Arabidopsis thaliana: one gene and its partner. The protein of the gene in region 1 interacts with the protein of each later gene in a pairwise test. Each region holds a gene or a part of one and is shown on either strand. Other genes may lie near its edges. The genes, in order: AT1G07650 and AT1G54540.

What was found.
Region 2: the proteins of AT1G07650 (region 1) and AT1G54540 interact in a protein complementation assay, tested with the Arabidopsis thaliana proteins (one large-scale study listed by BioGRID).

The regions. Positions count from the first base shown.
Region 1 is NC_003070.9:2,360,337-2,368,375, forward strand, and holds the start of AT1G07650 (Leucine-rich repeat transmembrane protein kinase), read right to left. Parts: upstream 6,274-8,039; 5' UTR 6,088-6,273; coding exon 5,985-6,087; intron 5,850-5,984; coding exon 5,669-5,849; intron 4,374-5,668; coding exon 4,284-4,373; intron 4,187-4,283; coding exon 4,118-4,186; intron 4,032-4,117; coding exon 3,960-4,031; intron 3,829-3,959; coding exon 3,757-3,828; intron 3,632-3,756; exon of another isoform or gene 3,594-3,631; coding exon 3,522-3,593; intron 3,427-3,521; coding exon 3,355-3,426; intron 3,277-3,354; coding exon 3,205-3,276; intron 3,101-3,204; coding exon 3,029-3,100; intron 2,950-3,028; coding exon 2,878-2,949; intron 2,775-2,877; coding exon 2,703-2,774; intron 2,635-2,702; coding exon 2,569-2,634; intron 2,485-2,568; coding exon 2,416-2,484; intron 2,330-2,415; coding exon 2,294-2,329; intron 2,138-2,293; coding exon 2,079-2,137; intron 1,963-2,078; coding exon 1,568-1,962; intron 1,477-1,567; coding exon 1,281-1,476; intron 1,187-1,280; coding exon 1,046-1,186; and 8 more. Other genes in the region: DSI-1VOC (dessication-induced 1VOC superfamily protein), read right to left, coding at 7,276-7,398, 7,493-7,655, 7,886-8,013.
Region 2 is NC_003070.9:20,366,751-20,370,309, forward strand, and holds AT1G54540 (Late embryogenesis abundant (LEA) hydroxyproline-rich glycoprotein family), read right to left. Parts: upstream 1,762-3,559; 5' UTR 1,672-1,761; coding exon 952-1,671; 3' UTR 803-951; downstream 1-802. Other genes in the region: AT1G54530 (Calcium-binding EF hand family protein), read left to right, coding at 1-138; AT1G54550 (F-box and associated interaction domains-containing protein), read left to right, coding at 2,939-3,559.

The DNA of each region.
Region 1 (8,039 bases):
TCGAGTGCAACGACGCCGAAGCTATAAACATCCGCTTTTTCAGTCAAGTAACCACGCATTGCATATTCAGGAGCCATATAACCTCTGCAATGCAAATGAAAACATCAAACTTCTGTTATTGTATTCTTAAGAATTCTCTTCTTGAGCTTATGAGTAAAAAGAGAAAGAGCCTTACATAGTTCCTGCAATACGAGTGCTGATGTGTGTGTTTCCATCATCATTCAGCTTTGCCAAACCAAAGTCAGAAATTTTAGCGTTGAGATCCTTATCGAGTAACACATTGCTTGCCTTTATATCTCTGTGTACAATCTTTATCCTAGATTCTTCATGGAGAAATGTCAGTCCCTTGGCTATCCCCAAAAAAATCTTCTTCCTTGTTGACCAGTCTAGTTTCAGTCTAGAACTCTCATCCTTTCCTACAAAAGAAGATCACCCACACAAAGATTCTGAGCAGTAATTCCACCGGATAATTCCGCAGATGCAAATTCGAGAGAAACAACATACCAAATAACGCTCGAGATAGACAGTTGTTCTCCAAGTACTCATACACCAATATCAATTGGTTTCCTTCAACACAACATCCATATAGCTTCACAAGATTCGGATGTTGAAGAGCTGAGATCATTCCTATCTCATTTACAAACTCGCGATTTCCCTGCCTCGATTTTGCAGACAGTTGTTTAACTGCAATTAATTTCCCCTCAGATAATTCACCCTGCACCAAGAGAAGGACCACTTTCTCAATATTCTTCCAAAATGTGTACACATCTTCTGTAAACAATTTCGTATAGAGCTAACAATGTCGCAGAATTCAAGTGAATTACCTTGTAAACAGAGCCAAATCCACCTTCACCAATCTTTCTTGTTACATCGAAATTATCAGTGGCTGCTTTTATCTGCCGTAGAGTAAAAGTTCCAGTTTGAAGATCTAGACCCCTTAGCTCTGTTCATTCATAAAAAATTTGACATTTAGGCACCAGAATACATAAGAAGTTACATAAGATTCAAAAACATTACAACATCATAAGAAAACTAAACCTTATACCTTTGTCAATATCATTTTTGTCACGCCTTTTTTTCCAGAATACACCCACTATGATAAACAAAAGAAGTGTTGCTGCAGCGACAGGTACCCCCACTTTTAGTATGATATCCTTTGTGTCATAATATACCGGAGGTTTGAAATCTGCCACAAGAAAATACGGTCATCAATCTGACAAAGAGGTTACAAATGATTTATATAAAAGAGCAAACACTTTTGAGTAAAAACAAAAACTTACTGGGTTCCACAGATATAGCTGAAATCATAGGACCATATACCCCTCTAATCGGAATGCCTGTTGTCCCTTTGCCAGCCCATCGCAAACCAATCTTCAGAGTATGGTCCGTTACATTTACCAGAAACGATTTAATGATTGGCTTACCTGATCCTCGAGCAGCTTCTTGAATGTTAAAGTTTTTAATCACCAACTGATCCTGTGAGCAGATAAACATGCAAGAATATATTATGTTCTGATTTATATTTTTCTACAGAGTAAGTAAAAGAATATTGACTGCATAGACGTACCTGAACATAAATATCAAACAAACGTTTGCCGAGACTGTATAATGTATTGTCATCGGTAAAGATGATCTCAGCAAAGTGGAGATTCACAGTGTAGTTCCCATTTCCAAGACAGATTCCGTAGTAAGTCAACGATAAAGGAGAGACTCGAGCTGTCCTATAAAGTCCAAAGCTGGGAGAGGAAGCATTAACTGATAACCTGGATGTGTTCTGCACAGTATACTCATCAGCATCGTCATCATTGTCCATGAAGTTCCCGGTGCTGCTCAACGCCCAGCGCTTGTTAGCGCCAAGGACGTACATAGAAGCACCTTTGGGTTCGTCATCAGCCTGATATGTTATTTCTTTATCCACTTTTACTTCACCTCCTCCGCAATTTATGTACAATTTATATAAATCTACAAGAAGGTTTCAATTTTTTAATCAAGAACAAGGATTTGCTTCACATTTATTTAAGTTTTAATAGCTAGTACTAGAATATGATGAAAACAAGACAAGCTTTATTGTTGCTTACGATATCTCTTAGGATGAACACAAGGCATGCGTTGAAGAAAACAGGTTGAACCCTTGTGTCTGTAACATCAAAGACAGAGGGAAAATACAGACCGTTTTCGGTTCAGTTCACTAATCATAACTGAAAGGACAAGATTTAAAAGACCACTACGAAGTCATGAGCATAAATCAGTTTTCTATGATGAGTCGTTTTTGTACAGAGAGCTGGTTTCTTACGATTTGTTCCCCAAGGCGAAGCTTTCCACCAAATTTCTAGAAAATAGAAGCACAAAATTGTTGTTTCAGCCAGGGTATGAACATAGTGTTCTGAAATATAAGAGTACAATGAATAAACTTACGAAGTAACTCGGTTACAGTCATGGCTAGGAATTGAACTTTCATCGGTGAAGTTATTAAAAGAAACATCTCTGCACATCAAGAAAAACAAATACAGTTTATTAAATCTATTAAAGTTGGTACGTTTAAAAGTTAACAGAGGCATGTATTCGTACACATTTTTATTTCTTTCGACAAAGTAGTTTGGAACCCCTCCTGTCAATTTGTTTCCTGTCAAATAACTGATAGAAAAGACTCAGAAAAACTTTCACGATTGGGAAAAATATAACTAAATACCATACATACTTACATGAAATCGGCTTTCTTCATATTTTCAAACGATGAAGGAATCTCACCACTTAGGAGATTAAAACTGAGGTCACTACACAGTACACAGTAAACATAAATACCATACAGAGTTCATCTCATGGAAATATAAAGCATTTTTAAAGCTCTTCTTTGCTCAATGTATATACATGACTTACAGTGTTTTGAGCTTCTTCAAGTCCCCAATATATTTTGGAATTGGGCCAATTATTTTGCATTTTCTCAGTATCCTGCATTTGAGATTGGTTAAAAACGTTTTCTAGCAAGCCTGTATCGCAAACACAACATACATATTGTATATTAACTCACAGCGTCTTGATAGATTCCAAATTCTTCAGTGGGGGGAAGGAAGACGGTTTGCCTCCTAAGTCGCTAATTCTCCTATCAATCACAACCCACCAAAGAAAAAAAAATTATATGATAATGTCTCGTGTGTCATTGTTTGACAAGGAGATGATTTGAAAAGAAGTTTTTTAAAGGCTTACAGGTCGGTCAAGCTTGTTAAGCTAGAAATACTGGAAGGTATCGGACCATCCAAACCGCAACCATGCATCTGCCTGCAAAACATTTTTTTGGTTCATATGTCTTTTCTTGGGAACATGCGAGTACTCTTATGGAGAAAGAATAGATCGTACAGTTTCAGTATTCTTGTCCAATTGCTGATGAAATCTGGTATTGGTCCAGTGAAATTATTATCACTTATCCTCCTGACACCCCACAAATACAATAATTAAAGAATTCTCCAACAAAGACTAAATTTTATGTTTGTCATATCAAAACATGTCAGACTAAATTCTCTTACATATCAGTCAGGTTCTTGAGCAATCCAAGTTTTTCAGTCAATGGACCAGTGAAAGCATTTGAAGGGAGATGACTGAAGCAAAAACAGAGAAGAGGATATAAGATATTAACTAAGAAACCAAAAGACTTGAGATTTCTAGTGATGCTAGTTTGTTAGTGACTAGACCATCACCAGATTGTTCAATGTCTATAGATACAATAGATAGCCACAAAAGAGATAGATAAAAGAAAGTTACAGTTTCTCCAAATGAACCAACTGTCCAATATCAGGAGGGATTGGTCCTGAAAACTGATTTCCTTCTAGGCTCCTGCATAATTTCAGATGATCAACACACATATACATAAATCTACTAGGAAACTCTACAGTTATAATCCAAACATAAGGCTCTAATAGAATTCATGAACCAAAACAAGAGTAAAGGAGTTAACAACAACATACAAGTTTCTGAGCATTGTAAGGCGGGTCAGGACTTTCGGAAACGGACCAGACAATCGGTTCCCCATGAAAGATCTGTGTAATGTACATCAAAACCAACAAAGATAAGATTTTGATTGGATTTGATTTCATTAGAGAAGCAAAGTAGAAGAGATACTTACAAATCTTCCAAGCGCATAGAAGCCCATTCCTTTGGAATGGAACCAGTCAGAGAGTTACGGCTTAGGTCTCTGCACCAAAATTGTTGTATGCGTTGAGAACCAATTTCTAAAGTTAAAACTTTGAGAAAGAATGAAAAAGCTCAAGTCTTTCTGATTGATCACTTACAAAACTTTAAGGTGACGAAGCTTAGAGAATTCTGGAGGGACAATGCCTGTTAAGTTCTGCGACTTCAGAGCTCTGCCAACCAAATTGCCACTATTAAAATTGTTACTTTTTGACAGTTTGATTCTGATTAGGTCTTCTTTTACAGAACTAGAAGTTTTGGGGTGGAAGATAAACTTCTCAAGAACAACGGGGACAAATATTGTAATATACTTAAGCATAAGCTAGGGAAACAAATTAAAACAATATTTAATGGACTGGTAAAGTAATTGTCGCATCGGTATGAAATTTGTTTTATTCTTCTTAAAACTGAAATTTGTACTAGAAAAATAATTTCTGATTTTTCATCATCTCAAAATGAAACAAATTTACAGTAGTGTTACTGTTTGATAATACAGAATTACAGATCATGGTTGTTCTTATATTATTTTGGATCATAAACTTGTTACGATTTTGATGACAATTTTTTAAAAAGAATTATGATTTTAAAAAATGATCAAACAGTCTAAAGAGACACAAATATATAACTAATTTTTACTAACACTAAATGTTTTTTGAATTATGTAAATCATAGTTTTTTATCTGGCGATTTATATAAAGTCTAGTTATGGAATAGAGCGAAAGTAAACGCGCTATTATCTATTGAATCGTTTACTTTGGTCAACGGGTCAACGACCAGCCTGGCAAGTATAAACTTGTCGTCACAAAGAGACAAATCAAACTTAAAGCTTTTTAATCTTACTTCACATGTGAATTTACATCCACCTAACTCTTAGTTACACTCATTACTTTATTAGTTATCTTAAAACCGATGCTTCAAATTATCGTTTACTATTTACCTTTAATACAAAACGTTAATTAGTAAGATGGTGCTGTCATAAAAAAGAAATAGTAAGATAGTAAAACTATCAACAAGGGATTATATAAGTACAGTAGAATAAGTTTTAGTACTATATAAAAGAGAACGTGACGTTGTAGGCATATAGTTAGTGGTTGTCATTAAAGTGTGAGTTGTGCAGTCAATATTGCAACCAACCTTCACCAAGGAATTTAGTGGTTTTCCCCTTCATTGTCACCATCATTAAACTAGCCACTACTCTGTTACCCTAAAATTCCCCTCTTTTAGCTTAAACTAATTAATGCTAAACATATTCCATGAAAATAAAAAGGAATTCTAACCTGTGAAATTATTTTTAGCACAAACAAACCGAAAAATAAAAACTGTGAAATTCTCCATACTTGTATTACGTACACTTGTTTTACAGACTGTGAAATCCAATATTCGTGACTTGGCACCGACACGCTAAAGATATTTGTAATTTCCATAAATGGGTAAAATTAAAGAGGAAGATAAGAAAGGGAAGGAGGATGAAGAAGAAGAAACTTACATTCTAATGACGTGGCAAGAAGAGTTTTGAGGAAGAAAGGAGCAATCACAAGTGATATTACTCTCAAACCCTTTGGTTGTGTAAGTTGTTACAATCCAAGTGCCTTCACCACTACATGGATCTTTGTTGAAGTCCCAATCTTTCTTCCCTAGCTTCTTCCCTATCTCCTTTAATGCCCTCACTTCCCAATTTCAAACCATACCAAACAACCATCATCATCAAAGATAAAAAAAGTGCTTTGATTTGCAAATCATAGAGATGCACACACATATACAGACGAGAGACAGGACTAGAGGAAGAATCTTTATAGTAGTACCTTCGGCCTCGTGAAGTTTATTGTTGTCGGAAAAACCAAGACGCCCATGGAAAATTAGTGTGAAGAGGACGATGATGAAATATATGCGATGTAAATATATCATTTTTTCTATACAAAATAATAAAATATGGTATCACTTCTGCGAGAAAGCTTGCAAGAGATATAGAGAGAGAAACATTTAGGAAGTGGTGATGGATGAGAAGCTAGAGCTTATTGACCACTTTAGTCGTCAGGATTTAATAAGGTTTGCTGTACTTTGTCATGTTCTCTTAACTATTTTGGTCTTCAGCCCATTCTAATATGTGTGTGTGTAATACTGTAATGTAAACATTATGTATATTATATCAGGACCCAGTGCTACTTTTAAATATCTTTTCTTAAGGTTTGACAGAGACCCTTCAGAAATTATATCCCCAAGCGATTTTGGGATTAGTCCTTGTATGAGATTAGTCTATGTTTTGCTTTAAGAGTACTAGTCTATGTTTTGGTTAAAGATTTATTTGGTTGTTAAAAAGATACAAATATTTCTGTATTATATTAAGAAATAGGAAGTAAAGAATTTTAAATATTAAACAAGTTTCTTATCTTATGTTCAATGTTTTATACTAAGTGTCAGCAATTCCTAAAATTATTTAGCCGGCAAACAATGAAAAGTAGTATATATATGATACCTTCCTCCTAAAATAATTATAAAAATATTTTCAGCGGATAATCGAGTCTCATCAATTATTGTTGATAAGTTCTATTTGACAAAAATCAAGAATCAATTATTGTTATAAAACAAACAATTGATTTGGGTTTCAAAGACCACATACGACAGATCTTTACATTATTGGTTTAGCTACTTTGATAGACAGCCAGTCGTATTAATTTGGAAAGCCAAAGTACTCACAAACATACGAAACTACGACTACGACAAAAGATAAAAAGAAAAAAGGTAAAAGGAACTTTACACTCTCTTTCGTTTGTTATTTTGTTGGGTCGCGGAATCATTTGATAAATGTTTAAGATAACTAGGATAGGAGAAAAATCCAACTATTATGATTTTGATCATAACATCGTTTCCTACTTTGTGTAACGATACTAACAAAGAAAAAACGAATTGAGAGAGGGGAGTGTGGGGACTAGGCTGGACACTTTGTATATCTTTTTACTTTACATGTTGCTTTAAGTAAATATATTCATCAAGACATCAACCATAATTAACAAAGGTACCAAAGTATCTTGTAATATTTATTCATATGTATATAGACTAGTTAATGATCATATTTTACGAGTCTTTATTTTGAATTCACTTAACGTGGCTTCCGATGCGTACAACAATGCCGTCAATGTCTCGCACGTATCCAACCTTCTGCCCCCATTCTTTATCTTCCGGCTTGCTCACTGCCTCCGCACCGTTCTCCACCGCTCTCTGCACAACGCAGCATCTCACTGGTTTATCAACACGTACGAATTGAAGAGTAACAGGCAAATATAGACATAAGTATATAATAATTGATTTCTACCTTGAAAGCGGCATCAACATCAGGGTAACAGAAGCAGACTTCGATGGGTGCTCTTTCACGTGCTGACTGCGTAGCCTGAACCTTCCCGGTTAGGTCGTCGGTCTCATGCTGGTGAAGCGGTGTGAACGCTATCGTGGTTTGCCCGCTCTCTAGCTCCCCCCACCTGTATGTATCAGTTTCTTTCATTCATCAAACATATATATTTGGTGTGTTTGCTTAGCATGTTAGCCAGCGGATCGGACCTGATTATAGGACATCGCACCAATAGAATCTCAAACCCGAGAGTTTTGTTTCATGACCTAATACGATTCTGTCGTTTACATTCCTATGATCGTATCCAACAACACCTAAGACAATCCAACGTAGAGAATAGTAACAATTCATAATACAAACCTGTGGGATTCGTCAAGACGACGGACGTTGTGACCAAAAGCTCTAGAGTAGAATTCTACAGATTTAGCTACGTCCTTCACGTACACAACAGTGTAAGCAAACGCCGGTCTCATCATATTAGCTGCCATTTTTTCCCAGTCTTATGATTCTGATT
Region 2 (3,559 bases), about 18 Mb from region 1:
AAAAATTTTAGGGATTTGATTGCAGAGATTTTGACGGCGATGGCGAGAGGTATCGGAAACTCGCCGGTGATTATGGTTGTGCATAATGATGGATTGATTATGAAAGCTGTTCTTCATGAATCTAAACAAGGCAAGTGATGAGATTTTTTAAAGCATTTAGAGCTTTTTATTTTTCTTTTGGGAAAATTTGATTTATAATTTGGTTATGTTTGAATTTTATATACATGAATTAATGTTGTTAATTGATAATGATTACATTGTAATTTCTTCGATTTTTACTTCTTTTTTTACTTGGGATGAATTAAACTCGAGATCGTTTGAATTTTCTCGAAATTTTATATTTCAATTCTATTGTAATTTTCGAAAGTTTTACCATTGAAAAAATAGTATAGATGTGATTCACACTACCAAACCATTCATGCTGAAGTTGATTCCATGCTATGGGCAATAGAATTTATAATCTCGATAGGTGTTACGAGTTGCTCTTTTGCTTTCGACCGTGAAGATCTTATCTCTATTGAAAAACTTTCAGTGTAGCCAACATTTGTAGTTGAGATGACGACATTTGGTTCCCTTGTATGTTTTTTTCCCTCTTCTAGTATTAATTTTCTTTCTCGTCGTTTTAATGTGCGGATCGATTGCCTTGGAAAAAGACATGAGATCGCAATAGGTTTTTTTCCCATGTAAGCACGTCGGTTCCTGAATGACTCTCTCTCTCTCTAGAAGAGAGTCTCGTTCCGACTACTTCATAGAAATTATGTTAAGCGGAAAAGAACCATTCATTTGCAATATTTTGAAATTTCAAAAATCTCTCGTAATTTAAAAAATAAAAATCAATCTTTTATTGAGAATAAAACCATTAATCCAAAATATGAATCAAATGCATAAGAAAATGATGAATTGAGTAATTAACACCAATAAAAAGTAAAAGCGCCTAGATCTAAGAACATCTCAGAGTTTGGCCTTAAAACTGCAATCACTAGCTTTGATGTTGATATTATTGTTCGTTGATAAACTATCAACAACAAGCTTACAACTCCCCAATATCCGAATCTTCTTCATCTTCAGATTTCCGAGTTTGATGGCGACAGGTGCATTCACTTTAAGATCTAACGGTACACGTCCTGTTTGTTGTTGCTGCTGCAATGCCGCCAAGACAGTGTTCCCATATTGCGCTCTTCCCGTTAGAGCCACATTTAGTTTAGTTACATTGCGATGTCCTTGATAAAACCTCGGTATAGGGCCTTCACATAGCTTTGTCTTGTCGTACCACACACCGATATGACCTCCTTTCTCGTAATAAATCCCAATCTTTTCGTTGGGATTACGAGCTGTGATCTCGACTTTAAACTCCGCGGAAAGAGAGAGGTCTAGATTGATTCCAAGGTTGGTAACTCGTAAACTGTTGACTTCGTAACTCGGGAGTTTAGGGTGGAAAACAAAGTATACAACCGCAACCGCAATTGCTAACGCGATCAATGCAATGACTAGAAGGCTTAACACCCAACAAAAGATTTTGCAGCACATATTTCGATTCTTACTAGGAATAACAGGAGGCGGAATCGGCCGTTGAACCGGAAGCAAGACTGTCTTTCCGGGAGCTGGTGTTGTTGTCTTCGTCTTGTTGGCTTCCATTTGAAGAACCGGGTGAATTTTTTGTTGATCTCCCATGGATCTACAACTTTGTATTTAGTAATACTAATGCACCAACATGTATTATATGTACTTTATTTTATATCAAAGTTTTGTCTTGTGAAGTTGTTTCCATGCATGACTTTTACCAACATCTTACCTTCCTCACCTATAACGTTGAATTAATCAGAATATATTAGAAAGACTAGAGGTTGTTCAACAGTTACAGTAATCTTTTTGTATTTAATTCGATAATAAAACAAAAACAATAAATCATTCGGTATATTGGTTTAGTTAGGATGACGACTTTGGCAACATTCCAATGTTTTCAACACATATCTTCTTTTTGTTCATCTCTATGTTCAGCAACAACCCGTATAATCAAATTCTTGAGGAAGAATTTGAAAACTACAATTTTTATGATACATTTCATAACTATCACTAATTTTTTTTTTCAAAAACACCACAAAAGGATTTATAATTTCTTTAAATACATTTTATAGAAAATATTTATAAAGTTATATAAGGTTTTATAAATTGATTCTTGAATGATTTTTTTGTAAGCAATCTCAAAAGAAGAAAGATTCAAACTTATTAAGATAGAAACTAAGAACTTAGATAGATTATTAAAACTTTATGATGCAAGGGTACTGATAGAGAAAATATTACTTCGTTGTCACCAAGAACACTATGATTCGAAATTGATACTCTTATTAAGATGAAGGAAGAGAGTTGTTTTGAGAGGACAACTCTCAAACAAAGTTACCTTCCATGGATGTTCTAACCATAAATTTATATGCTTTTGCTAGCTAAAACTCTAGTTCCATGGGCTAATAGACTTCTCAAAACACTCTATCTTAGGATTCTTTTGCATCCTTTTAAAAAAAAAGTCTTTAGTAGTTTATTTTGAGAAATGGAATCGTAAAAGTGATAGATGTCAAAGTTTCCCAATTAATATATAGTCATCACTCATCTACTCTGGAAATTTATGTTAGTCACATATCATCTGATCTATAAAGAGATTACTAAATATGTGGTGGTGCACTCTACGAACTAAATCAAGAGCTTCGTAGTTTTTAAGTAAAACTGAAAATCAGTTGCTAAACGATTTCGTAATTTTACCATATGATATAGTTAAGGATTCGATGGTTTATTTTTTTCCAAATAATAGGCCCATTTAAAAAATCTGTGCCAAAGCAAAACTTTATTACAAGCCCAACCAAAACACATATACAAACATATTAGGGTACCGAATAGGTCAATGAGACATTAAACTTGTGGAGAAAGCTGAAAACTTGGAGGAAGAATGGCGACAGTAACCGATCTACCGGATGATTTGGTAAGAGAAATATTTTCTAGGGTTCCATTGACATCTCTAAGAGCAGTGAGATCTACTTGTAAAAAGTGGAACGCTATATCGAAATATGACATCTTAGGTAAAAAAGCAGCAGCAAAGAATCAGTTCTTGGAGTTCATGGTTACAGATTCTAGGGTTTGTTCTTTGAGATTAGATCTTCAAGGAATCCGTAGCGAAGAAGATTTGATTGATCTATCTATAAAGCAAATAAGTATACCTAATAAAGTTGATCAAGTCGAGATATCTCAAGTCTATCACTGTGATGGCTTATTGTTATGCATCGCCAAAGACAACTCGAGTGTTATGGTATGGAATCCGTATTTAGGGCAGACGAAATTGATTCAACCAAGAAAAAAACTCCACAGATATGACAAGTTTGCTCTTGGATACGACAACAACCGTAACCACAAAATTTTGAGGTTTCTTTATGAGGGGAGTCCAAGAAACGTCATTATTGATGTTTACGATTTTAGCTCTGATTCATGGAGGGTTCTTGATATTGATATAGATTGGCATGAACTGTTTAGTCACAATAGCGTGTCTTTGAAGGGAAATACTTACTTTTTTGGT